Linked DNA regions of Astyanax mexicanus. The protein of the gene in region 2 purifies or fractionates together with the protein of the main gene of each other region. This does not show direct contact. Links are inferred from orthologs where the notes say so. Each region holds a gene or a part of one and is shown on either strand. Other genes may lie near its edges. The genes, in order: gon4lb, histone H2AX, wrap53 and nap1l1.

Region 1 (7,940 bases), on a different chromosome or scaffold from region 2:
ACTGCTTGTCAGTCTGCAGACACCATGGGATCCAGAGGCAGAATCCCTCCGGACAATTTTCGACGGAACTGCTAGAGGATCTGGGGAGCTGGACCTGCGTCCTCGGCCCGTTTTCATCTCGCTTCTGGAGCTAATATGAAACAGAGAATTACAAAGTTGCATTTGCATATTTCAAACATTCTGGTGGAGACTAAAATGGATATATTTATTAGTTGAGGAACTATTTAAAACCATAAAGATGTGGAAGAGAAATGTAAAAAACAGATTTTCCAACATTAGTGACATATTTATAACACAGAACAGAACAGAACAGAAATCATGTGGCTTGACTGGAAAATACACACATTAATTTTATTTACTGCAGGCTTCTGTTACATATGTGTATTCTTAATAAGCAAACCCAAACAACTACATTAATTAAATGAATAAAAAATCTAAAATGTAAAAAACAATAACTATTTTACTTAATTAACAAAAAGTAATAATAAGTGGGGGATAAAATAAAAGATGGGCTTTTTTAAATCATGGCCTATCTTCCATTTTATCTGAGGTAAATTAAACGTATTTATGCAAATACATACATACTCATAATAAATTATTTGCTATACATCAATAAGCCCCTATGAACAATTATATACATTACATATATAATGTATACATTATACATTATATCCTTAACCAGTTATATATCCATATACATCATTTTACATAATAAAGTGGAAAAATGATTAGCTATATTAGTTCACTTCTTCCAAATTATCACACATGGAAATGCGAGCGAGGTGCAGCAGGAGAGTATTTAGTCAAATAGCTGTTTGCTGCAAAAGACACACAGCAATGATTTCTAGCGTTTCCAAGCACTTTATCCAAAATTCCAGCACTTTTTAGACCTGGAAAAAACAACATTACAATTCAAGCATTTTCAAGGATTTCAAGCACCTGTATGAACTCTGCTACAGAGACTGGACAAGTTGTGTCAGCAATGGGTGCAATTTTGACAGATAGTTAGTTAAGGCATCTTATTGCCCAAGTTTGCACCAATTTAGAACACTGCAGTGCTTATTTCATTGCATGTAATGACAAGAGCTGTAGGGGAGTTAGGATAATTACCAACATATCCCAGAAATGCTGAACAGAGCACAACTATTTCAGGGAATACAGTTCCCCTGCACCACAGCTCAGTGCTGGGGGTTATATACTGTACCCCTTTGGCCCAAACCTATATCCTCCAAGCAGAGTCCTATTCTTTAGGCAACAGCTACTTATTTACAAGGACTAGAAATTTGTCGAGTGTGTCCACTGTGCATATCTGTGTCAGCAATGGATGCCATTTGGACATGTAACTAAATAACTTAGAAATGTCATTGCCCATTTTTGCACCAGCCTACCCAATGTAAACACTCCAGATAGAGCTAGAGTTCCTAATCTGTATATAGAATGCATTTTACAAAGCTAGCTAGAAAGTTGGGATAAAGTGCTGATATGCTGGGAGTCAATATGCTTGCTGGAAGAGCAGCTAGCTACACCCTACCTTAGCCAGAAACATTTACAGCTAAGCTAAGTTAGCTACCCAGCGAATAAAGGTCAATTAGCTCTAGCTAGCTAACAGAAAAAGCACAAAAACTGTCCGCTACATCGTCCAGCTAATGATATAACCTACGGTAATTATATCCTAACACAGTGAGACACTAAATAGTAGACACAGAGAATGTCTTGTAGCTAAACTAGTAGCTAGCTTAGCTATACTTTCCTTCTAATTTAACGACCTAAGCTGTAGGTATTGGTGTTAGCTAGCTTACTATCTCCACAGCTCCACTATGTGCTAGCGAGCTAACTAGCTAACTAACTGCAGTCCCCGGTAAACCACAACACAATACTTTAGCCGCATTCAGCTATATGGCTAACAACAGAGCTAGTTAGCTTAGCCAGCTAACTAGACATTAACCCGTCTATATACGTCTTTCTACATATCTGTGCCCAGTAAATCATGTCACTTGCTGACAATTAAGTGCTTTTATTGATCTGTCTCTATTTAATTCACAATAAATAAAGCGCTTACCCTGAAACAGCTATATGTAGCCATCAGTAGCTAGCCAGCTAACGCACTAGCCAGCCGGTCCACAACAAACTGACGTTTCGCGGGTGATACCGAGCAAAAACCCTGTAGTCAACAGCTACCGCCCCCTACAGCCCGACGGCGTAATCAGACTCTGAATCTCTAGACCTGTCTGTGTAATACATTAATATAAATTAATTAAACATATGAATCTTAGTCAATCTTAGCTCAGACGTGAAAAAAACATTTTATTGCATACAGCAATAATAGCTATATGCTACAGCATGTTAAATATAGCATGTTACAGCTACTAGTGCATCTAAAAAATAATATAATTTAAAAATTACTTTATTTCAGTAATTCAGTTGAAAATGTGAAACTCATATTTTATATAAATGTATTAGACACAAAGTCATCTATTTTATTAGCCATTATTTCTTTTATTGTTGATGATTATGGCTGACAGCCAAAGAAAATGCAAAAATCAGTGTTTCAGAAAATTAATATTCAATTGGTACTTTTGGCAGTGTGAGCAGTGTGCCAAGTCCTGCTGGAAAATGAATTCTGCATCTCCATAAAAGTTGTCAGCAGAGGGAAGCATGAAGTGTTGTAAAAATTTCTGGGAAAACGATGTGCTGACTTTGGACTTGATATGACATGGCTCTCCAAACCATCTCTTTTTGTGGAAACTTCATACTAGACCTCAAGCAGCTTGGGCTGTGCGTGTCTCTCCACTCTTCCTCCAGACTCCGGGCCCAGTTTGTACAGTGTACAATCACACTTGAAACCCACCTAGGTCACATTTTATCCATGTGAGCCCCATATGAGAAAGCTGGCTGGGCCCTTTCCTATTACAGTAGACAAAGCATATTGCTCACCTTACGGGCGGAGTCCAGTTGTGGTGGGTGGAACTTGTTTATGTGCGTCACCAGCAAAGATGTACTTGAGCTTCATCAGTGCTGGTGGGACTTTTGTTAAGTGCGTAGAGTCCTTGATTAAGTTCTCAAATGAGTGCAGTGCCTAGTTTCATAGAGCTACAGAACACAACAGCTGGAAAGAAGCACCTCCATCCAACATCTGGACATGCCCGGACTGAGCATCTGCAGACCCGCAGTTCTGGTGGCTCCCTGCGCGGGGAGTTCAGCAGCTGCTAAACGAGAGAAGTCCCTCCAGGCTCCTCCAGGTCTCCAGGACGCCCAGCCGGTCGCTTCGCGGCACGTTTCACTGCGGGAGATGGTGCTGACTCCAGCCCGCGTGCCTCCCTTCACCATCCCGCCGCTGTGCGCGGTGACTCGGCCCGGGCGCTGCTCTGCGGGGGGCGGCTCTCGGCGCAACACGCTGCCGGCCTCAGCTCACTCTCTCCGGTATAACAGCCGCTGCTGCTGCCCGTTCTCAGCGCTCAGCCTCACGGACCTGGAGCCTCACTCATGCGCTCTGTCAGACCCGGGCACCAGAGCCGCGATGTCTCTGCCCCACCTGGCCAAAATCACCACTCCGTACGGCTTCATCACCCTGGGGGAGAGCCCCTGCGTCCGCCGCCGAGAGTCGCTGTTCTTCCAGGAGAGCCAGACACAGCCTGGAGCTTCACAGCAGCAGCAGCAGGTGGGTTTCCAGATGTGAAAACAGCTGCATTTACAGCCTAATTAATGTTAATTATGTTTCTGGGTATTAATCACCAGGAGTAGTATTTGTCATTTGTAAAAAATAATAAAATAATTAAAAATAGCATACAATAAACGGTTTGGTTTAAAAAGTTATTACAATTACTTATTTATTTCTTAAAAAGAAAATTGCAAATGAAAAAAACAAATCTACAAAAATAAATAAATACATAAATAAATGTGTATTTTTTCCTGCTAATCCAATTTATGGTATATCCACTTCAGGGTGACTGACTTTAATGTCAGTCAGAAAAATACTGTTTGTTTCTAGAACTTACTTACACTTTTTTATGTTTTTTTTTTCTTTAATGCTTAAAAAAACAAAAAAAGAAATTAGATTTACTAAAACTAAACATGAAATGAATAATAATGTTCTGCTAATTTATAGTACATCCACCTCAGAGTGTTTTTAATGTCAGTTCATATTTGTTTCATTCCAAAATCCATAAAAATGCTGTAATTATTTAGTGCTTAATAAAATACAAATAAATTACATATTTACAAAAGCTAAACATAAAATAAATAGTTTTCTGCCAATTTATAGTATGTCCACCTCAGAGAGACTTTAATGTCACAGTTTAGAATTGTTCGCATTATTGGAATTGAACCAAACCAACCCCCCCCCCCCCCACACACACACACACACAAAAACAATATGTACAACTCGGATCTAACATGAATTAAAAATCTAATAGAATTGTTGTACATTTAATTTTTTTTTCTTTTATGTTTAGAAGAAAAAAAAAACTACATTTTAAAAGTATTGTTCTGATATATCCACCTCAGAGTGACCTCAGAGTGATTAAATAATTAAATTAGTAATAAACACATAAATCTGTTTTCCTCATTGGTAATAACCTTTTCACAATGATTAATTCATTATTATCCACCAACATTAAAAAAGGGAAATGTTATTAGAAGAGTGCATTCAGTATTGCTGATTTTACTATATTTTAACAGGATTTGTCTTTCTGTTATTTGTCTTACAGTGTGTGAAATCTAAGAGTGAGTCTTCCTTGCAGTCCTGCAGTGTAGCAGCATGCTGTATTTCATCTCTCCAACAAGAAAATTACCTCTCTACTTCACGTGACTGTTCAAAGCCTCACAAGTGCACACACCGTTCCAGCAGTTTTTCAACGAGGAAAGAAAAACTGAAGTATTTCCTGAAGAACCGCTTCAAAGCATAAGAGCCAATTCACTTCCAGAAACTTCCCTGAAATGACATTCACACTAAAGAAGTCCCCCTGATAATTACAGAGATATACTCCATCAAGAAGAAAAAGGCCCTTGAAAAAGCAGAATGAGCTGATAGTGAGTGGAAAATTAAATGATGAGACTTGGAGTGAAGGTTAACCAGTTCATGTATCAAAATACACATTGAATTACTGTTGGTTGTGATATGTTATTATAAGGAGGCACCTACTATATATATATATATATATATATATATATATATATATACATACATATATATATACATATATATATGTACTCCTTTTATGGTCCTTTGGTGATTCATATATGATGCAAAAACAATAGTCACCAGTGGGATAACACAGTTTGCTGCTGTTAATCTTAAATATCATTTTTATCTTTTTCATTGCTTGTGTTATTGTATTCTGACTGTAGTCTCCCACTGGTCACATATTTCTGACAATGAATAAACCATAATTTCATGAACAGTGACAGTTTTCAGGCCTGTTGATTGCCACATGGCTCCAAGTAAAGGTTTGAAATTGTATGTGACCATATTCACACTAAAGTAATTAAATTTACATTGAGTTTTACTGAGATCAAAAACTCACAGAGATGCAAGTTTTTAAGAATGTATTTATAAATGTTTGCAGTTGTGTGTAATAAATTGTATTGTATTTATTATAAAATAGTATATTTCAGTAAAAAATGTGTATACATTTACACAAAACACAAATCTGTGTCCCATTTTAATTTTGTATCCAATCTTATAAAAAACACATACCACTATAATGACAGGGCCTGCAATTACACCATCTTATTGTATCTCATAATTAATCACTGATGCTAATATTCTGTTATGAACTGACATTGATCTCAATGCAACATGGATTGCTTATTACATTTCTTAATTAATAATTTCTTAATAGTAATTCTCAATATACTCACTTTATTTGTCTGTTTGATACTAGTGTCATTTAGAGGGACTATTCTCTTTCTGAGTACCTGTCAATACAATGTATGTCATACAGGGGTTTAAAGAATTCAAGTGTTTTGCAATATACTGTGATGATGCAAGAACAACAATATATTGCAGTTTTTAAAACTCAAATCATAGGAAAACTGTATTAATAGATAAAACACAACACATAATTCTTGACAATCAATTTAGTATTGGGACATTTTGATATTAGTATTATCTTACCCCTACTACAAACGAGTTCAACGACCGCAATCTAAATCCACAACAAGGTGCCTTTTAGGAAAGCACCTAACCTCCATCTCTCCTGGTGTGTGTTTTTACTACTGTAGTTAACCGTGTGTGTGTGTGTGTGTGTGTGTGTGTCACAGATGGATTAAATCTTAAAGGTACTACTGTCCAAAGGCTGTAAAGTGTCCTTCATTGAATGTAACCTTTCTTGCCTATTTAAAGATATTTTTTGCCCCAGATTTGTTATAAAATCACTCATACATTTGTGGAATTGAACAGCATTTCACATTTTTATATAAAAATCATATGACAGTTTGCAAAAACAACATAAGTGTTTTAGATATTTTTTACAGAAATATAATCTAACATCCTGCTAACCCACTCTCCCGAATGCTCCCATAGTTACAGTTATGTGTACATTTCAAATAAACATAGAAAACAGACATAGCAAACATGGCAAAATCAAACCACAGGGAATTTCCACTGTGCTACGTTTCAATATTTCCAAATGATAGATTCTTCAAACAAATATATATAGCTGCACTTTTTCCTTCTAGATTTAGACCTTTAAGAGTTATCATAACCTTTGATCTTTGATGTTATTGTGCCTCAATCTGAAGGTTTCTTAGAAACACCCAATCTACAGGAACTCATCTTTTAAGTTATTAAGGATGAGTCCACAAGTTCAGAGCATCATTAGTCAGTATTTACAGCCCCAGCAGTATAGCATAATGAGAATTAGCATTAAGAGGTTTAACAGCTACATAGATGCAATGTGTGCTCAGCATAGGTGAAGATCTACTGTGCAAAGACTGTGCACAGGTTCTGTACCTGTTAATGTTAGAAGAAAATCATGATTATTTCACCATTACTTCACAAAATTTAATTAGGCCATTACGCTGGTTCAATCGCTGCCACTTTAAACTTCAGTCACACTCTTATCAAACAGCCACGATGCTCTGTGGATCTTAGTTTGCACCATCCTCTAAAACAAATGGGAAACACAGCTACTACAGCATGGGACTAATGAGAGAGAGTCATGAGTCTAGTCATGATTTTAAAGCAGTGGGATTACATGATTTACAAGATTACATTTCAGCTGGAAACATGGCCTCCCCTTCCTTTTCGTGCTCTTTATAACCAACAGTGAGAATGACAGTGAGGGGTGTTCATGGCATACAAATATCCTAATGTCTCTATCATCACACAAACCACAGTTCTCCAGACTCCACCAATGTGTCCTTCTGGAATGCAAGTGAAGGAGTGTGCAAAGGTGGACAGAAGCCCGGAAGTTGTGATAGTGGTTCTTTACGTGTGTTCAGGTGGTCCACTAGTGCACTGTGTGGGTTCAGCTCAGCACCTGGTTCCGCTCACTCGCTGCTCTTACTCTCTCCCAACAGCCAGTAGGTCCTCATCTTTCCCTTGCCCTTCATCTCCACATCTCCTCTCAGTTCTAGCTGAAAGCAGTTGAACTCCTGCAGAATGTCATGCGATGCTGAGGATACGTGAATCTTCAGAGCTGCCAGAAAAATGCCAGAAAAAGGTTCTTATTAATGCACAAGGACAGCACTGAAAAAAATGACAACTACTAGGCAGCGAAGTGATAATTTTTTTTTTTTTTTAGATTAGGCAGGTCTTTCGAACTGTTCCCTCTATGCAGTGGTCAGTACCTAACAAAACTGGCCAAGGAAAGACAATCGGTAAAACAGGGTCACTGGCCCACATACAGATCCTCACAACATACAGGACGCAAAGGATCCACTGACAACATCTTCAGTGTAATTGATTAGAACTATTTTATTGGTATGAGGGTGACCTA
Region 2 (5,240 bases):
CTGTCGAAAGAGTTTAGGGGCAGCTAGAGCATTTGGAACAGTTCATTTGGAACAAAAGGAAAATTGTGCTTCTTGAACAACTTTATCCTACAGAGACTTTTGGGACACGCTGGGAATATTTTTGACCCTTTGTGTTCGTTGTACGTAGGTATTTGACGCAAACAGCAGACGCTGCTTTATGAGAGTGAGGTAGATGCCTCACGTTTTGTTTAGTGCTGGAATCGCAAAGAAAAATGGGGGGGGGATAAAGGGATTTATTTGTGTTCTTCTGAAAACACCTTTTGATTGTGTAATGTATAATGTTAAATAAGAGACTTAAAATGGCTGCTTAAGTGGAGGAGAGGAGGTGGGTGAGTTGAGAAATAGTGGTTGAGTAAAATGCTGTAAGACTTGTTCAGCACAAGGGGGCGACATAAACCAATACTTATCAGAAAGCCTCCCGCATTATGTTGCTATTCGTTTGTTTGTTTTGTTTGTTTTTTACTATGATTACTATTTATTTAATTTTCATCAGTTGCACACTTTTGAAACTCTTTTCTGATTGTTTACAGTGGTGGGGAGATCTTCTTCATCAGTTTTATTATTTTTGTGTATTGTTTACTGTCACTGACACTAAATTATTCCTCCTTACCAAACCAAGGAGTCTTCAGTGGGTGAATTATGGTGAGGCTTATGCTGTGTGCTTTGTTGTTTTTGCTGTAGTTGATAGCGAGTTAGATCAACAGATATTTAAGCCCTGTTTTTTTCAAATTGTGGTTCTTCTTTGATTTACATTGTGGCACCTTCTTCTTTTATTATATTCATTTGTTAAAGAAATACACGAGTAGTACGCATATCTCACAGTTACGCTTGAGTGGAACAGAAATGGAAAAATAGACAAATTTAACTCAGATATGTTTATTCTTCTTAAACATTTCTAAAACTGATAATCAACACGTCTTTAAATCATGTCTAGTTAAAGTTACAGTAGGTTGGAAATGTATTTCAGGTTGAAAAAAAAACACCTCAGGGGATATCATGAACGGTTTCCACAAAATTAAATATATAAAATTTTTTCAAGACTACTCGAAGCTCGGACAAGCCCACACTTTATATTTCTTTAATATTTAGCTGCAATAAGATAACTCAGACTACCCTGAATGAATGGGGTCCCCTGCATGCATAGATGAGCAGACCTGAACGTGTAAATAATAGTGCTAACGTTTACGTTTTAAAAGTTTCACCTTCGATTTTGCATAAGAACATAAATAGGTGAAGGACGGCAGCTTAATTCAGCTTCTCATGGCTTTGGCTATTCAAAGGGAAATTATCTGACCACTCAAAGACCACAGCTTGATGGATGGTTCACTGATGTTTCAACATTTTTGCATAATTCAGTTTTAAGGTGTTAATGCTCAGTTGGAGTGGTTTATTGTGATGAGTATTATTCCAGAGAATCTTACTATAAAAAAAAATCCAAAAATAATCTTAACAACTAAATTAATGCATATATAAAAAATATAATATATGTTTAGGCCAAAAGCGTGGTTTAAAAATTGTGATATCTTTTTTATTATGGAGCTTTGAGGGACATTTTGAAAGCCATTCACCACCACTGTGGAAATTTCTCTAGAACAGCATATTTCCCAACAAACAAAATTAAATCATTCAGGTTAATGGGCTCTACGTGTTAAGAAAAACATATTGGGCGATATCAGGAAAACAAAAATACTCAAAGTTATGTCCATATATTATACAATGAGCTGAAAATGTAATTATTGTGAAAGGTCTACTTGGAGGCATTAAATACTTTGGATGCCCAGGTTTATTCACTACAATTATGAACAATTCTGACTCAATAAATTAATATAGAATGATCATTATCAGTTCACACCAAATATCAGTTCACACCAAACCACGCTGACACAGTTTGCTTACATCTTAATGGTAAAATAGGACAAAACATGTAGAAACATCAGTGGAATTCCAGTGTATAAATACAGTGCTGTGGTGTTTGATGGTGAAAGCTGGTTGATTTTGACCTGTAAGCTGTTTGTTTCTTATCCAGGCCAATAAAGTCATCATTGTCTTCTTTTTGACTCCTTAAATGACTTCCTTAAATCTTCCAGACAATGGCTTCAGGCACACACAGTCTATATTGCAGTGCATTCATTATTTTCAGAGGGTTGTTTGTAAATTAGCAATTTTCAGCTGAACATTTACAGGTGGGATCCTCTACTCTTTCTCCAGTCTTTTATCCCTTTTCCCCAAAAAGCCTGGAAAGCCTGAAGACCCCAACATTACACTGCTAGTAGGCCCAGAATGTCATTGTCTATGAAAACAGTGAGCCGCCTAAAGAGAAACAATGCCTCTCAGATATTTGATGCTTTATATTACTATGTGGCTACTTCAATGTTTAATTTATTCTGAATAAATTATTTTTGAAAATGCACTTGTCTCTGGTTTATTTTCTTCCAATCTGCCACTGAAAATAAGTTCTAAGACTTGCCTTGTTAATAAAGGTGTAAAATTTTAAAATAAACAATATATATTGTATTAGTTTGAGCTATCACACTGACATATAGTTCTTTAGTTACTATAAAAAAAAAGTTGCATGGCTGTCCAAAAAAATAGGGAACAGGCCTTCATTCATTATTTTTCTTGCAATAGAGATGGATTGATGTAGTGTAGTGTTGTGTTTAACAATGAATTTCATGTTATACCAGAGTTTGATTTCTTGGCTGAGCTAACACAACACACCAATAAAAGTCTTTAGACGTTATATATGTTTGTTTCTAAAAACTGGTCCTGATAGGAAAAGTATTGATACTAAGCTCTTTTTTATACAGTGCACTAAATATGCATTGTTTTTTTTTTAATATACTTTGTGGTGGAATTTTGACTGCAGTAAAAAATATGCAGAGCAGGAAGTACTACTGCCTCCTCTTTATACCTTTTTTTCTCACTATATCCCCATCCCCCTCTCTCTATCTCTCTGTCCATATACCCCCCTCTTTCTCCCTGTTTCTCTCTCCCCTACCCCCACTTCTCTCATTTACACAGACACACACACAAGCCATTTTGACTTTTTATAAAAAAAATATTTAAAAAAAGTATTTTTACATTAAAGTTTATGGATCTTAGCTTTTGTATTGAACCAAAAAATAAAATAAATATATTTTTAACATTTTATATGACTTATTTAATATATTTGACATATAAGTAAACTTAATATACGGCCTGCTTTTTTGTAATATTCATGTGATGAGGATTGCAGAAAATAAGTATTTTTAAAAGGCCAAGAACATTAATACATATAGACATACATGCATATTAGCTTTTGTATTTAATAAAAAATTGAATAAATATATATCTTATATTAATTGGTTATGTCATATATTTGATATAGTTTAAAGCAGTACATTTTAATGTACATCCTTAATTTTTAATAACCAGATGGTGGCACATTGACTTTGATGTGGGGTTATAAATAATATAAATATGCTTTCTGCTCCTTATTTCTTCATTAAAAAAACATTTTTAAAGTTCAAGAAGTGGATGGATATTAGTATATTAGTTGATATTGAATCTAAAAAAAATCTAATAAATATATAATATATAGGATGAGTTAAACTTAAACCAGATGTTTCTCATCATTCTGAATACTTTTACAATATAAAAATGCCTTTGTTGACTTTCCGCCAAAATACCTCGACTTAAAATTCAGAGGGAATACGTACAATTGGTTTGAATTTTCCGCTCAAAGTTGATGGACAGCGGGAGAGACCAATGGTAGCACAGTTAAACTTCGCCGCCCAACCAGAGTGCAAGATTGAACCGTAACGCTCTGATTGGTGTTTTACTTTGCGCTGATTATGCACAGCGGTTTTCAGCCAATGAGCGAAAACATCCTGTCAGGCTTTGATCACACGAGCCAATCCGTCCGCTCTCGGTGCGAGTTTGACGAATGGGAAGGTAGGGGCGGGCCTAAGCGCCCGTTGAGGCCTGTCCTTAAATACTGCAGCAAGTCCAACCCCACAACCAAACACCGATTTTTTTCTTCTGAAGCTTAAAGAAGTAAGCGAAGAACTTATCAACATGTCTGGAAGAGGAAAGACCGGAGGAAAAGCCCGCGCCAAGTCCAAGACCCGCAGCTCCAGGGCCGGCCTGCAGTTCCCCGTCGGCCGTGTGCACCGTCTTCTGCGGAAGGGTAACTACGCTGAGCGAGTGGGCGCCGGAGCCCCGGTGTATCTGGCCGCTGTGCTCGAGTACCTGACCGCTGAGATCCTGGAGTTGGCCGGAAACGCCGCCCGTGACAACAAGAAGACCCGCATCATCCCCCGCCACCTCCAGCTCGCCGTCCGTAACGACGAGGAGCTGAACAAGCTGCTTGGCCGCGTGACCATCGCTCAGGGGGGCGTCCTGCCCAACATCCAGGCCGTGCTCCTGCCCAAGAAGACCGGCCAGGCCGCCGCGAGCTCCAGCAAGGCGGGAAAGAAGGGGTCCTCACAGTCCCAAGAATATTAACTCAACAGAAATGGCGCGAACTCTGACTTGATAACACCTAAAAAACCAAAGGCCCTTTTAAGGGCCACCCATCTCCTCTGAAAAAGAGCAGATTTCACTCTGACTTTAACCTCCTTTACCTTCTATTTCCATCATCAGTCTTGTGTGGGTGTGTCTGTCTGTGTGCTTTTTATACGGTGAAAATAAACATGTCTAACTTGAAATTATTTGGGGTTTTTTTTCTGGACATCCTTGTAGCCAAAACTTGTTTCATTCATTTTTTGTTTAGCTAGGTTTGCTAACTAGCTAGCTACTGTGCAACGTGCCGTTTGGCGCTAGCTGATAGCATAGCCTCTCTGCTAAACTAGAATCTGAAAGTGTTGTACTGTGACTAAACTAAATGTCTTAATTTGACGCAAGGATCGCTTTAATACAGGCTTAAGTTGGCTAACAAAGCATGTAAATCTGTTATTTAATGATCATCCAGCTCCTTGTACATTAGAAACTGTAAGCTCTCCAACTAGATAACGTTAACCTATAAATTGTAGTGCAAAAGTGGTGAAAAAAACCCATGATTAATTATAAATAAGATCATTAGATTTTAATCTAAATATTAATAACGTTACCGAATTCATTGTGAATCTGCCTGCATGCTGACGCACAGTCTGAAAACTAGTGTAGCTGTAATTTATTGTCTTAATGTAAGTAAGCTCTCAAGTTAGGGACAAGTTGTAAAGCAAAAGTAGTGGGGCAAA
Region 3 (7,071 bases), on a different chromosome or scaffold from region 2:
CTGCCTGTCTGGTAATAAATGCATTTTTCTCACTTGTTTTGCATGTCATGTAGACTTTTAAAGGAAAATTCTAACTTTCTGTAAGCTAATCTCTGTCTGCTGCACCTTCATCGTGTTGTTGATTATTGCTTAGTTATGAAAATAGTAAGAATACACAGAGCCATTTTATTTAAATTCCAAAACAAGTAGTAAAAGCTAATGTCTTACATTTCTTTTGAAATAAAAATGCAGGGTCTGTTTTTTTTTTTTTTTTTTTTTTTTTTTTTTTTTTTTTTTTTAAATAAATGGGCCATTATAAATTTTCCTAAGTTATATACTGTTTATATTGACTTCTATTCATAGTTTAGGTTTTTATGGCATTTTAAGGCATATTTATTTTCATATTTTTCACACAACATACAAAACAGTTGCAAGATTCGGATTAATTAGATTAGAGAGAAATTTTACGTTCATTAATTTTTTGCATATCACTATAATTTGGTCGTTTTTTTTTTATACAGAAATTTGATGACTTGAACCAATGGAAATGCTCTGAAATGACTTGGAATTACATTATTTACATTGACTTTAATTGAAATACTAAAAGAAGGTTTTTAATTCCTGTTAAGTAGACATTTGGGAAATAAAAAAAATGCTTGATAGCCATTTTGGAGAACTTCTATTGGTATGTGTATAATTTTTTTTCACACAGTATGCAGACCAGACCAAGTTCCAGATTCAGAACAACATATTCATATTATGTCAACAATTCAATTTTACACTTTTTAGTTTTACTATTGGTGTATTGTCTACACTATAAATAATATCTGCAAGTGAAGATTTCCTAAGGTATGCTTTGCTTTACAGCACCGTTCACTGTTCGCGTATATTAGCACTTTTAATTTTTAATGCATTTTAGAGGAGTTTCTTAAACCACATAAACCACTGTGATCCTCCTTCTTAACCTTTTTATGATGCTGAAATGATGCTAAAACATTTTTGGAATTCCAGTCTGATATTGATTTGTGATGATCCTCTTTCGTTTTAACTGATTACTTGCTCTCTTTTCTTCTTTCTACACCAGTATTCCAGAGATCCAGAGCAGGATGTTGACCAGCTGTTTACCCCTCTCTCACTTAACACACGTGAAGCTGGAGGAGGCTGACCCTAGAGATCATCTCCTTTCCAGAACAGAGCGAAACGACAGTACAGGAAAGAAGCGGGGACCCCTCGTCTCTTTTATCCATGAAACTACGTTTCAAGAACAGCTATTAAATGAAAACCGACAGATGAGTCTCTCTAAAGGTAGCTTTAGCTCCAGGTGACTGAAAGTGGGAGTGGATAAGTGGAAGAGTGGAGCCTCTGGATACTGGAACTACAGAACTATGGCAGTTAAAACCTGTACAGACTAGTAATGCAGCTGTATGCCCCGGCCCTGCTGCATACATGGCCGGGCATGTTCAGCACACACGCTGCATGATCATCAGATACTCAAATCTCACACAACCCTACTTGCATCAACTGCTGTCTTGATTGGTTTGAACTGTATTCAAACACCAACTCGTACACAAAAATACAGATGTATACAAAGACTACATACTCATGGCAAGTTGCTGCCCTGTAAACTGTGTATACATGACTTTTGCTTTTTTCTGTTGGGTGTGGTGATAATTATTCTTTTTTTCTTTCCTCAGACATGCCTTAACTGTACAGACAAGCCTCTACTTAAAGATTGAAAAATTATGTGTTGACCAGGCTTAGCTCAACATTCTTTTACTTCAGTGCTGCCTAAACAGCTCTTTAAAAAATCTTCTAATGAGAAAAATCAAAGCTTTGCTTCTAATCGAGAAGATTAAAAAAAATGAACCATTTGAGCCCTAAATTAAACACATGCAAAGACGTGACTTACTGTAACCTGTTCAGACAAAATCTGACTGAATAGTATGGGACATTGCATTGCACAGTTGCAAAGCCCTATATCCTTTTTTTATTCTGTACTAGAATTAATTAGATAATGCAGTGTAATTAACCCTGGAGTCTGACTTTATTTGGAGACCCTAGTCTGCTTGTACATTTGCGCTGCTCTGTAGGTAAGTGCAGGTTGTGTAACGAGGTTTTGCACTGCATGCAGGTTTTACAGTGTGGCAGTGCTCTTAATAAGAAGTGCATTGTCTTTCTAACGTTACCTGGACTATCTCTACATTTTAGATTCTCTCCAACTCTCTCCAAGTCAGCAGGTCGTAGATGTGACTACAGGGCTCGTAGAAATGCAGTCCCATATTTTTATTGTGGCAAAAGTTTCAAACCAGGCAGTTTAAGACTTGATAATGACAATAGGTTAACTGGGGTGAGTCATCATTACCATTACATGTATTTGCAAGAAAAAGGCTTAGACACAGGTCTAAAATCTGGACTGTATGGTATATTTGTTGACTGTGGGCTTTATTAGAATGTGAACAAAATCTGTTATCTAAGCTAATGCTACTCCAAACACATAATGGTAGTGACTGTAGAAACATCTTACATTTTCCCAAAAACATTTCATGTTATGGATGATTTTCTTTCCCATATTTTGGTTTTATGCAAAGGGCGATGACAAAATCAGTATTGAATCTGAATCTCCTTTCATGCCGCTCATGTCAAGACATTAACAGTAACGGAGATAAGAAAATGTTCATTTGCCTTTTCGTTCTTACCTGTCAGCTTAGCCCTGTAGCTAAACTTTTAAACGAGTCAGATAAAACTTTTCTGAAGTCAATACTGAAAATGTTAGCAACAAAGTAGTAATGTCCTGATTAATCAGCGTGTAAATAGTTTGGGGTTTTGTTTGTTTGAAAAAGAAGACGAATACTAAATAAATGCTTATTATTAAGGATACAGACTTGTGTTGCCTTGTTGTTTTATCATTTACATTTTGTAAACCTTTTTAAAAAAGACTTGATTGATTGATTATGTTAAAAAAATCACCTTCACTAAAGAGCCTTTTTTTAAGACCTTCATCCTGTACCTCAAGGATGAATTATTGATATTTGCAACTAATTAAACAAATTAAAGTGCGACTAAAAAATATTGCCTAGTAATGAGTGTACAATTTTGTGTGCACAGCTCTGGAAAAAAAAAATATAAGACCACTTAAAAATGATTTCTTGAATTTACCAAATTGTCTGGAATATATATAAAATATATAAATCTGGAGTATAATTAAGAGGAAGATTGATGATCACAAGTAGTGTGTAAGACTGGTGGAGGAATACATGCCAAGATGAATGAAAACTGTGATTAAAAAACAGGTTATTCCACCAAATATTGATTTCTAAAAAAAACTTTCTTAAAACTTTATAATATAAAATTATTTGAGATCTGAAAGCTCTGCATCTTTTTGTTATTTTAGCCATTTCTCATTTTCTGAAAATAAATGCTCTTAACAGTATTTTTATTTGGAATGAAAAATTTTTGTCCATAGTTTATAAATTAAAACAACAATGTTTATTTACTATATACCTATAGATGGCAAAATCTGAACCATTTCAGTTTCTGAATCAGTTTTTCTGATGTTGCTATTTTTAGGTATATGTTTGGGGAAAATAAACATTGTTTTCTTTTAATTTTTTTTCCAGAACTGTATAATATGAGATACTTACTTTTGGATTTTCATTAGCTGTAAATGATGAGATGAGATGCAAAAATAAATAGATAAAAATAGATAAAATAAACACTACAATATATACAATATAAATAATTAAAAGTAAAGAACTTTTAAGTTGTTTAGGGGTAATGAAAAAATATGTTACATTGTTACACTGAAACCTTCTATTTTCTGTAATAATCATCAACAATAAAATAAATAAATGGTTAGAATAGATCACTCTGTTGTGTGTAATATATCTATATAACAAATGAGTTTCACATTTTTAATAGAATTACTAAAATAACGTAACTTTTCAATAATATTCAGATTTGGACCCACGATTTGCCTGATTGTGAGCGATGGTCCGCGAGTGACCTCTGGTGGTTGAGTCTGATATTACAGCGCTGTTAAATACTCACAGATCTCGCGATATCTGGCGGTGTTTATATTGCTGATATGGCGGGTCTGTTCGTGTGTAAACACGCAGCACGAGTGTCTGCTGGATTCAGGCCGTAGTGTGTGATTTAAACCCGGGACTCTCTGCTGTTCGTGTTGTTATAGGGACAGGTTCAGCTGTGGGAGCGAGTTTAACTGCTGGCAGCAGAGCTATCCTCAGAAAGTCACGGCTGGAGGAAGCAGCGGAGCAGAACTACAGGTAACAGCCAGGCTGGAGCTAAACTCTGATTAAAAACATTAAACTGCTGCAGTATTTTACTCTGTACAGCGTGCTGATACATTTATACCCACACCCGCCGATAGATAGATAAATAAATACAGCTGCTGAGAGGATAGTCTGAGCTGCTAGTACTGCTGTGACAGTTAACTAGCTAACCTTAGCTAACTAGTTAACCTAACGCTAGCAAGCTAATGTTAAATGGCCTGTAAACATTAGCTAGGCTAATATTCACTGTTCAGCTACCAATTTGACTTAAGCTAACAGCTATAATACTGTATTTGTGCATTAATCTGATTATCTGGGTTATTTACAGTTTTGTCGTAAATCCTATACAGCAAGTTATGAAGCCCCTTATGCTGTCCATACACTACACGACTTTAAAAAAGACTCTGAAAAGACTTTAGGCTAAAGTCTGAAATTCTCTCACATCTAAAGACAAGACACAGACTTTTTACTTACAGGCTACGATTTTGCACAGATTCTCTTTCTAAGATTATTTCCCATCATGCTTCTGGTGGAGTTTTATATACACATAATATATATTAAATATAGACTCACAACTTTTGTCCCCATCAACAGTTTATTTTTCTGTCACACTGTTGGTTCTTAATTGTTTTAATATAATGCATTTTGTGTTCAACTCTGCCTATGAACTTCTGTTCCCATTTTATGCTTAAGTGTTAGATTATTTTGCTTAGTTTAGGGATAATTTTCTTAATCATTCATTTTTTTAAGAGCTTCATCCTGTACCTCAGGGATAAATTATTGATATTTGCAACTAATTCAACTATTTTATTAACTAATTTAAGTGCATAGCCGACTATAATGCCTAGTAATGAGTGTAAAATTTTGTATGCACAGCTCTGGGGAGAAAAAAAAAGAGAACACTTAATGATTTCTTGAATTTACCAAATTGTCTGGAATATATATATATATATATATATATATATATATATATATATATATATAAATCTCTGGAATATAATCAAGAGGAAGATTGATAATCACAAGCAGTGTGTAAGACTGGTGGAGGAGAACATGCCTCTGCCCCTTCTTTTCCCCTTTTATGCTTCAACCTTGTCTAGCAAAGAATCACACTTTCACTGCTATACGTCTTTGTTTTAGGTAGAATTAATGCAAATACCATCCTAAAGAACACCATCCTTGCAAAAATTGTATTTATTGAACTTGTTTGTATCACAAATATCACTGCACAAATAAAATAACTGTGCAAAAAGTGCCACCTGTGTTTAAAATAATGTACATATTAAAGTAAGGCAAATTAACTGCAAAATGTGTTCTTTTTCAAATCGTTTGTAAACAGTCACATAAAATATTCTTGCCCTGCGGCTTCCTGTAGCTCTCCTATTGATTGTTGACATCACTATTTTTGTGAGCCGAGTCTCAAGGCTTACGATAATATTAAACATGGTTGATTTTATCTTAACATCAGGAAGAGAAAAAGACTGACTAACACTTTCATCCCTAACCACCTTACACTGAACCATTGAGATGACGTGACCGCAACTCCACTCTAGCAAGACTCATGATTTTGTCCAGACTCTGGAAATTCGTCTGTGAAAGTGACATCGCTTAAAAATTGTCCAAAAAGGTCAGCATAAGGTGACATCATGTTAAAACTAAATAATTAAGGCATGACCACGATTTATTAAGGTGTGGGAACGAGATAATTAATCATAGCCAAAGAATAGTACAGCTTGTTTTTTTTGTAAATTAATGCTTTATAAGTTGTCCCCTCACTTTCAGACCCTCTGTCCTTTGCAGTGGACATTGTTTTTCCTTCTTTCTTGTGTATTCTTGCACTTAACCAAGACTGAGATCTATTGTCTGTCCGTCAGAATATACATTTATTAGCCAATCAAACAGTAGCTTAGCTCTACCACTTGCATTGAAAAAGAAACTAACTAAAGTAAAGAATGGCAACATCTTACCAGTACTTACCAGAGTTGTTGTTTAATTTAAAACTGGTATCTACTGGTATCTAGTCTTGATACAGTTATGTTTAAAATTTTCAAATAGTTTGAACATCATTGTTTATAGTTTTAGATGTATTTTTTTCCATTTCTACTTTTTTAATAATGCTGTGATTTTCTTTCCTTCTTGTGTCGCCAGGGTCTTGCTTTTGCTGTGATGTTCCCAGTGCCATTAAGAGTACGATCAAACCACCGTCGCAAGAAACATTACCCCAGTAGCACCTACTTGATTTCAATTTGACAGACGGGACGGAGAATTAAACCACTCGTCTTGAAAATCTTTTGCACACGAGCCGTATTGAAGAAAAGCAGCACATATTTTTTAAATAAAAGAAAGTTCTTGATATGTCGGAACCAGGGCAGAGTAGTGAAGGTGGGGGTTTGGGAGCAGCAGGGCAGGAAGCAGAAGCTGATGGAGAGCCTCCTCAAGAAGGTTCACAGAATCTGCCCATCAGTGGAGCTCAGGAGGAGGCAGAGGAGGAGGCGGTACCGCCTGCTGCCAAGCAGCCACGTCTTGCTGAAGGAGTAGGGTTGGACATTTGTCCAACTGATACAGGTGTAGATACCACATTTGATGATGGTGGGAATCAAGGCATTGTTCTGATCACAGACAAAGGTGAGCTTCTTCTGCTGTGTGGTCTTATAATTAGGGATGCACTGATTATTTTTATTTATTTATTTATTTTTGACAGAAACCAAACAAAATGAAGCACTAGGCCAGATTTTTTAATTAATTTTGACTTTGTTTCTTGTTAAATATATTAAATGACCTAAATAGATTTTTCATTTTATAA
Region 4 (7,065 bases), on a different chromosome or scaffold from region 2:
CTCCCCCTTCGTTTAATGTAAATATTATCAGTTAAAGCCAAATGGGAGGAATATAGGAATGAGTTACTTAACGTTTTTCTACACAAATGCTTTAGACACTGTCGTCATATCACATGTGTCTTTTATCTGTTTTGTGTGTGCGTGTTTTAGAGGTTTGAATGTGGTCACACCAGTAATAACTTCAGATTTATCATTAATGTGCCTTTTTAGAGTGGCTATGGTTGGCGGGGTTCTTGGGAGAGACTGGGTGGGGCTATGCCATGGGTGGGACTTAGAAGGGGCATGTGATGGGTGGAGCCTGCTTTAAGTTTTTTTCCACTTTTATTAATTTTGGTTGTTTTTCACTACTGCGTGAGTGACTGTGCCATAATCAGCCTTAGAGACGCGTTTTAACCCACCGACCACAGAGTGTGCGTGTGTGTGTGTGTGTGTCCTGTTGTCACTTGGACAGTGTGCGCTGCATCTCTCTGTTCTACACGGTTAATGATGATGTATTTGTATTTAAGGATTAACTTCCTGTATGTTAATCACCTGTAACACCAATTAATAATCAATAAACAGTGACAACCATCCATCTCATTCTTCTGTCAGTGACAACATCGTGATTGGGTTAGACTGCATTTGGTGTATCAGTTTGGGTATAAAAGATTAGACTGGGTTGGGTTGCATTGTGTATATAAAAGTAAAATTAGTTGGGCTGGATTGGGTGTACAGTTAGGTCCAGAAATATTTGGAAATTGAAACAAGCTCCCTTATTTGGGCTCTGCATGTCACCTTATTAGATTTAAAATTAAACAAATGAGATGCAACTGTAGACTTTCATTCAAGGGGTTAAACAAAAATTAGCTAATTAAATTTACCATAAATACAATGTTAATTTTTAACATTTTGTTAAGAATCCTTTGCAGGCAAAGACCACTGGAAGTCTGGAACATATGGACATCACCAAACACTGGGTTTACCTTTTAATATGCTTTGCCAGGCCTTTACTTCAGCTGTTTTCAGTTGTTGGTTTGTGGATCTTTCTGCCTTTAGTTTTTATTAATCAAATGAAATGCTGCTCTGTCAGGTTCAGACAACCATCTCTCATCACTGTGAGATACTGGAGCATCTTTATCAGATACGGTGTGTGTGTGTGTGTGTGTGTGTGTGTGTGTGTGTGTGTGTGTGTGTGTGTGTGTGTGTGTGTGTGAGAGAGAAAAACTGATAGATGAAAAAAGGGGTAATGATCTCTCATTCTCTGTAGGTTAATGGCCCCTAAGTTCTGTAGTAGGAGAGAGAGAGAGAGAGAGTGTGTGTGTGTGTGTGTGTGTGTCAGACTGCTGTAATGCAGAGTTAATCCGAGTGCTGAATGAGAGTGACACTGCAGCAACTTTTTCAGTTTGGAACATAAAGACCCTGCTGATACAGCACTCACACTCACTCGCACATTCACTCATATACACTCTCCTAGCTCCATCAGTTCATTTATAAGTTGATTTACATAAAAATAAATAAAAGTAATAATACATAAAGAGAAATAAATTACACTTTAAGTTACCACTTTAGTACATAAGCTTTATATACAGTGGTATGATTTTCCTTTATAAATCATTAGTTGTTTGGATCAGTAATTTCAGTGAAACATATGTAGCAGATGAATACAGTGAAATTTGAGAAGTAAAAGAAGTTTATACGATTTACAGAAAGTGTGCAATAATTAAACAAAATTAGACAGATGCATACATTTGGGCACCCAAACAGAAAAAATACATCATGATTTAGTATATTGCAGAAATAACAGCTTCTAAACACTTCCTATAGCTTTCAATAAGAGTCTGGCTTCTTGTTGAAGGTATTTTGGGTCATTCTTCTTTACAAAACATCTTCAGTTCTGTCAGGTTTGATGGTTTCTGAGCATAAACAGCACACTTTAAATCACACCACATATTTTCAATATTATTCAGGTGGTTTGGGGACTGAGATAGCCATTCCAGAATATTGTACTGTTCATCTTAAACATTGTTCTGAAAAATCTGCTGATATTTTCTGAAATCCATGCGTTCCTCAACTTTACCAAGATTCCCAGTACCTGCACTAGTCACACAGCCCCAAAGTAAACCTGGCTTGTCCAAATGTGCTTTTGCATACCTCAAGTGACTACATACAGCCTCACCCTGTACAAAGTGTGCTGAATAGTTGAATGATGCACAGCGGTTGTAGGTATTTGGAGCTGGTCTGTGGGTTGACCATGAATGTTTCTATTTTCTCTGCTAATGTGAACACGAGTGGGGGGGTAGCGGTAGTCAAGCCATAGAGTATCTTTAGAGTAGCCATCTTAGCTAGTTAGTTAATATGCTACCGTGGGTATCCTGGTCTTACAAGAGTGTACACTTGCATGATTAGCTGGACTGTATTTGGCATTTAATGGTCATTTATTTTATGTATGATTTGATATTATTATTGACACTTTACAAAAGAGTGTTTCTTCGTTATTTGCCTGCACAGATAGTTCAGTGAAGCCTGTAAAGACAGTTAGACAATCTACAAGGTATTTTTCTAGTCTGTAAATTATAAACTAGCTTGCAAACACACAAGTTTTTCAATACAGCAAACAAAGGCAATTACCTACCTTCCACGTCGTGCACATAACCCTCAATCCAGTTACTGTAGCCTTTTAGTAAAACAGACAATTTTTCGACTGCTTTCATCATTAATTTAGGGAGGTTAGTTTTCCATGCAGGTGCTGCCATTTAAACTGGTGGATATTCTTGGAATTTCCATTTTAAGAGTGGGTTTAAGGGTTATCTTAAAAATTATGGTAGAGTTATTTTAGAGTTGATCCTGGGGTTAAGTTAGAGGATATAATATTGGGGATCATTATTATTACTGCACCCAGTTATAGCACCACCTTTCTAATGTTTATGGTCAGTGTGTGTATATATCTATGTAAAAGTCTAACTTAAAGTGCAGAAACTGTATACTGACTTGTATTTATCTAAATCTAATATGAGGAGTAAAACAGAAAAACTCTTGTTCAGTAGTATATTTTACACCTTTGCTCAAGTGGAGTCTCGTAAACAGAAGTGAAAAAAAGAATTGGTGCTAAAATACAGCTAATAATAAAAAAATGCAATATATCTTTAAAACATTCTGAAAGTTTGGCACAGGTCAATTTATTAGTTTGTTTCTAAACAATAAAATAGTCTTAAGGAGATGTTTTACAGTTTGGTTGTGGTCAGATGTTGGTTCCCCGTGTTTGAAGCAGTGGAGGAGAAACCTCACATGAGTCAAAGTGAAAACAATACAGTAGAGTTTTAGTACATTAAGTAGTAATCTGGATTTCATTTACATGCTAAATTATACCTACAAACCTGTAAACTGGTTTTATTTTGCCTTTACGTTTACTATTAGGCCAGAAACCATCAACACAAACCATTTTATCAGCCTGTTCTTTAACCTTCAAGTAAAACATTTACTACATAACCCACATTTCATAACTACAACTCACATGACCCATATAGCACAACAAAATCAATGCAATTATCTTATATTCTATTTATTATTCTTACTTGACAGCGTATTTTACTTTAGCCTCAACGTGTGACATGTGGTCAGCTACTCACCACAAACATTATTCTCCTGAAGTAAGTGTAGTCCTTGACTACCTGTGGCTTTCTACAGCGGGCGGGGTTTATGTAAATATAGGGGGTGTGGTTACAATGAATTAAGACTGGTATGTAGTTTTATATATTCAGTGTAGAGACTAGCTACAATGTTTCAGATTATTGGCCTTTTTATAAGCTTAAATCTTAATATACAGTGATAAAGTGTTATTTCTCCAACATTTGATTCCTCTGAGTGAGTATTTGAGTAATTTACCCCTGACTATCAGTCTGAAATGGCATTACTTTCTGTCTCATAGTTCAGAAAACCCCATTTTTAACAACTTTCTCCTCAGAAACAACATGGCGGGAAAGGCGGGAACATCGACCGGTCGCCTCCCCCATTGGCTCGGCGTTACCCCGGTGACTGCCGCCCTGCGTGATGACGCTATATGAGCGCGCGCGGCGGGAGCGCGCTCCCTTTTTTACCGCCATCAGAGCGGCGCGAGAGAGACACGCAGATCCAGCAGGCTGAGGCAGAGTCTCCGAGTCCCGGCCTCACAGTCCCGCCTCAGACCGCTTCATCTCCGCCTACAGAGTCTCCCGCACCCGCCGGTACACCGGATCAGCAGCAGGTGAGCTCGCCGTGGCTCACTGAACTGCGTGTTCTCTCGATGGCAGCCGCGGGGGAATGTGTTTGATGGTGATGCTAAGCTAACGAAGCGCGGCCCACACGCGGGCGGGGAGAGGCGGCTGTATCGCGGAAAGTAAGGGAATGAGTTCCCGCGGGTGTAAGATACGGGTTAGATGTTGTGTTAGTGAGGCGGGCTGTGGGCATTTATGGCTGTGTCGCCTGTCTGGTTGTTCCTCCCCCCGTTTCTTGTCCTTCCCGCGGCGACCGGGCGCGGTGTTGGAGCTGAGGAGAGTAACAGAGCTGAAAATCTTTATTTTACCTCAGACACACCGCGGGGTCGCTGCTTTAATCTGCTCCTCCACATCACTCACAATAACTCCCCTGCTGCTCGTAGGGCCGACAAGGAGCTGTAAAACACCCCCCAACCGGAGAAATGTAGGTCCACAGTGGCAGGTACCGGCAGTTCTCGCTGTTGGTTTTAATCCGTCCCCCCTCCGGGTTAAGGGGTTAGCCTCAGTGCTAACGGGCTCATCCGGGGAAACACGTGGAGCCGCGGCCGGTCTTGGCGAGGGGGCAGCGGTTGCTCTCACTCTTTGGAGGTGGTGGTGATGGGGAAATTAGAGCTGCTAAGAGTTAAAGTAGTAATAAAGTAATGACGGTTATAGTCCAGTCATAAAACGTTGCCCTGCTTTTTGCCAGTTAGGCCCACTAATGCCCATGCGGTCCAAAATAGTGTGGTAGCTACTGTGTCTGAGTGGGCTGCTGTGAGGTCATCTGTATTACTGTTTAATTTTAAATCTGTAGCTACATGTTTGAAAGAGAAACATTTTCGTTTTGAATGGAGTGTATTTGTGAGGTCACAGAAAACAAGCTGGGCTTTTGTGCTGCAGTTCTGCTCTGATCCATCACAGCTTTTTAAATGTAGGCAGCAACTAATCTCATTTGCATATCTGTGGTAAAAGGAGGGTTTTCACTCACTACGGTCTTAATACATAGGTCTGGATTCTATGATTATGATTTAGTCTGAGTTTAGTTTTGTAATGTGTTCCATGTATTACCAGTGTAAAATAAGCATAGGCTTTGCTTTAGTCTCAGAATGTAAGCAAAACATTCTACCCAAATATAATGATGGATTCTTTGGTAATGTTTAGTGGTGGTGGGGGCGTTAAAGATGTCCACGTGGCCTGGCTTGGTTCTGTGGAGGCTAAAGGGGAAGAACTCAGTAAAGTTCAGTGAATAGAGCTGTGTTGCTTTTAGATCTTATGCAGTGTCAGTTTGTCTATCAAGATCCCAACAGCAGCTCCTAAACCTAAGGTCTCAGCTTTTGGTGTTCAGGTTTAACATATTTACAGTTTATTATTTAGTTTATTTGCTGTGAGAAATAAGTATAACTAATATAGCTTATACAAATAACAGTTTCAGAGTATGCCAACTCTGACGAAGACAAGTAAGAAATAAGATCCACAACAGGTTATTACTATGAGTAACTGTTTTCTAAAACTTGCAGTAAAAGGCAGAAATGTAATTTAAGGTCCTCTACCTTTGGTCTGGCATGTTAGTTATGGAGAAGGTGCAGATAATTCTGGTGCTTATTTTTTTTCTGGATTTGTTTTGCCATTCAACAATGACATTTAAACAGGATTCAGATATTAAACTGCAGTAATAACGTTCACCTCTCAGATTTATAGTTAAGTGTGTAAGGAGACCTGGAGGGCAAGTATCATGTATTGTCTGTGTGCCTCTGTCTGTGTGCCTCTGTCTGTGTGCCTCTGTCTGTGTGCCTCTGTCTGTGTGCCTCTGTCTGTGTGCCTCTGTCTGTGTGCCTCTGTCTGTGTGCCTCTGTCTGTGTGCCTCTGTCTGTGTGCCTTGCCGCTGGTGGATTTTGCAAAGTTCAGCTCTTAAAAACTCTTTCAGTAGAATGACGTTATTATAGCGCTCCACAAAAGAGCCTGGCCTGTGATGGGACCCCTCCACTATAGATTACAGCTTACTCATCTGAAAAAACACAATACAAAAGGTCCTCACTGGCTGCTTTGACATTGGTCAAAGATGGATGAAGATGCATCCCCCCCCACACACGTAGTGCAGTAGATTGTTTACATTTTCTGCGATTATATAAAAATATAAAAATCATTTGAATGTCTCCCTTCTTATTGGTAAGAGTGCTGATATGCCAGCTTAAACCTGTCCAGTACAGCTGATAGTTGAATTTATTCAAGGTCTTATTGTTTTCTTATTGCAATCACAACCGATCTAGAAGTAGTTTGGGAACGGACTGAAAGCGCACCTAATGTCGCCTAATTGCTGCCCAGAGTGACTAGTCTCTTTAAACACTTACTGTCTGTCATGTCTGATCCAAAATCTTTTTTCTCTCTCTCTCTCCTCAGGAATAAAAACAGACATGGCCGATCTCGACAAGTAAGTACCGCTTCTTTCTATTCCCAGCATGCCTCAGCTTAGAGCTGCACGTCAGGATATTGTAAATAATTTATCATAGATGCTAAATAAATCATAATGGATACTAAATTGACAGTAGGTACTGAAAAAGGCACAGCAGGTAATGAGGGGTGGGTGCCAGGGTGATATTTGGTGGGTATTGGGTAGTTCCTTTATCAATGTGAAGTTAGTGCCAAAGCTTATTTGCCCACCTCTGTTGTGCATCTGCCTCGCAGCCAGGCCCTGTCCACCTGCTGCTAACCCAAAAACACACACGGGTGTGAGTGTGAGAATCCTAGAAGAAAACTGTTGGAGAAGCATATCAGAGACAAGAATACACCAGAAAGAAAGTAAAAATAGATTGCAGTGAAGATAAAAGCAGTATATTAAAATAAACCAGGACTGATGGAA

The links.
Region 1: the proteins of histone H2AX (region 2) and gon4lb purify together in Homo sapiens (affinity purification with mass spectrometry; 3 studies listed by BioGRID and IntAct, counting the BioPlex papers as one, with this or other methods). This does not show direct contact. The link is inferred for Astyanax mexicanus from reciprocal best matches to the Homo sapiens genes H2AX and GON4L.
Region 3: the proteins of histone H2AX (region 2) and wrap53 purify together in Homo sapiens (affinity purification with western blotting; 3 studies listed by BioGRID). This does not show direct contact. The link is inferred for Astyanax mexicanus from reciprocal best matches to the Homo sapiens genes H2AX and WRAP53.
Region 4: the proteins of histone H2AX (region 2) and nap1l1 purify together in Homo sapiens (affinity purification with mass spectrometry; 3 studies listed by BioGRID and IntAct, counting the BioPlex papers as one, with this or other methods). This does not show direct contact. The link is inferred for Astyanax mexicanus from reciprocal best matches to the Homo sapiens genes H2AX and NAP1L1.

What each region holds. Positions count from the first base shown.
Region 1 is NC_064413.1:41,387,067-41,395,006, forward strand, and holds the start of gon4lb (GON-4-like protein), read right to left. Parts: upstream 3,027-7,940; 5' UTR 2,935-3,026; intron 2,143-2,934; exon of another isoform or gene 2,060-2,142; intron 131-2,059; 5' UTR 118-130; coding exon 1-117. Other genes in the region: C2 calcium-dependent domain-containing protein 4C-like, read left to right, coding at 3,140-3,658, 4,707-4,904; npr1b (atrial natriuretic peptide receptor 1), read right to left, coding at 7,492-7,640. UniProt on the Homo sapiens protein: Has transcriptional repressor activity, probably as part of a complex with YY1, SIN3A and HDAC1. Required for B cell lymphopoiesis.
Region 2 is NC_064408.1:15,369,722-15,374,961, forward strand, and holds histone H2AX, read left to right. Parts: upstream 1-3,981; 5' UTR 3,982-4,077; coding exon 4,078-4,506; 3' UTR 4,507-4,709; downstream 4,710-5,240. UniProt on the Homo sapiens protein: Variant histone H2A which replaces conventional H2A in a subset of nucleosomes. Nucleosomes wrap and compact DNA into chromatin, limiting DNA accessibility to the cellular machineries which require DNA as a template.
Region 3 is NC_064415.1:15,365,661-15,372,731, reverse strand, and holds the start of wrap53 (telomerase Cajal body protein 1), read left to right. Parts: upstream 1-4,045; 5' UTR 4,046-4,262; intron 4,263-6,416; 5' UTR 6,417-6,622; coding exon 6,623-6,893; intron 6,894-7,071. UniProt on the Homo sapiens protein: RNA chaperone that plays a key role in telomere maintenance and RNA localization to Cajal bodies. Specifically recognizes and binds the Cajal body box (CAB box) present in both small Cajal body RNAs (scaRNAs) and telomerase RNA template component (TERC).
Region 4 is NC_064409.1:26,596,965-26,604,029, reverse strand, and holds the start of nap1l1 (nucleosome assembly protein 1-like 1), read left to right. Parts: upstream 1-4,055; 5' UTR 4,056-4,199; exon of another isoform or gene 4,200-4,219; intron 4,220-6,605; 5' UTR 6,606-6,619; coding exon 6,620-6,636; intron 6,637-7,065. UniProt on the Homo sapiens protein: Histone chaperone that plays a role in the nuclear import of H2A-H2B and nucleosome assembly.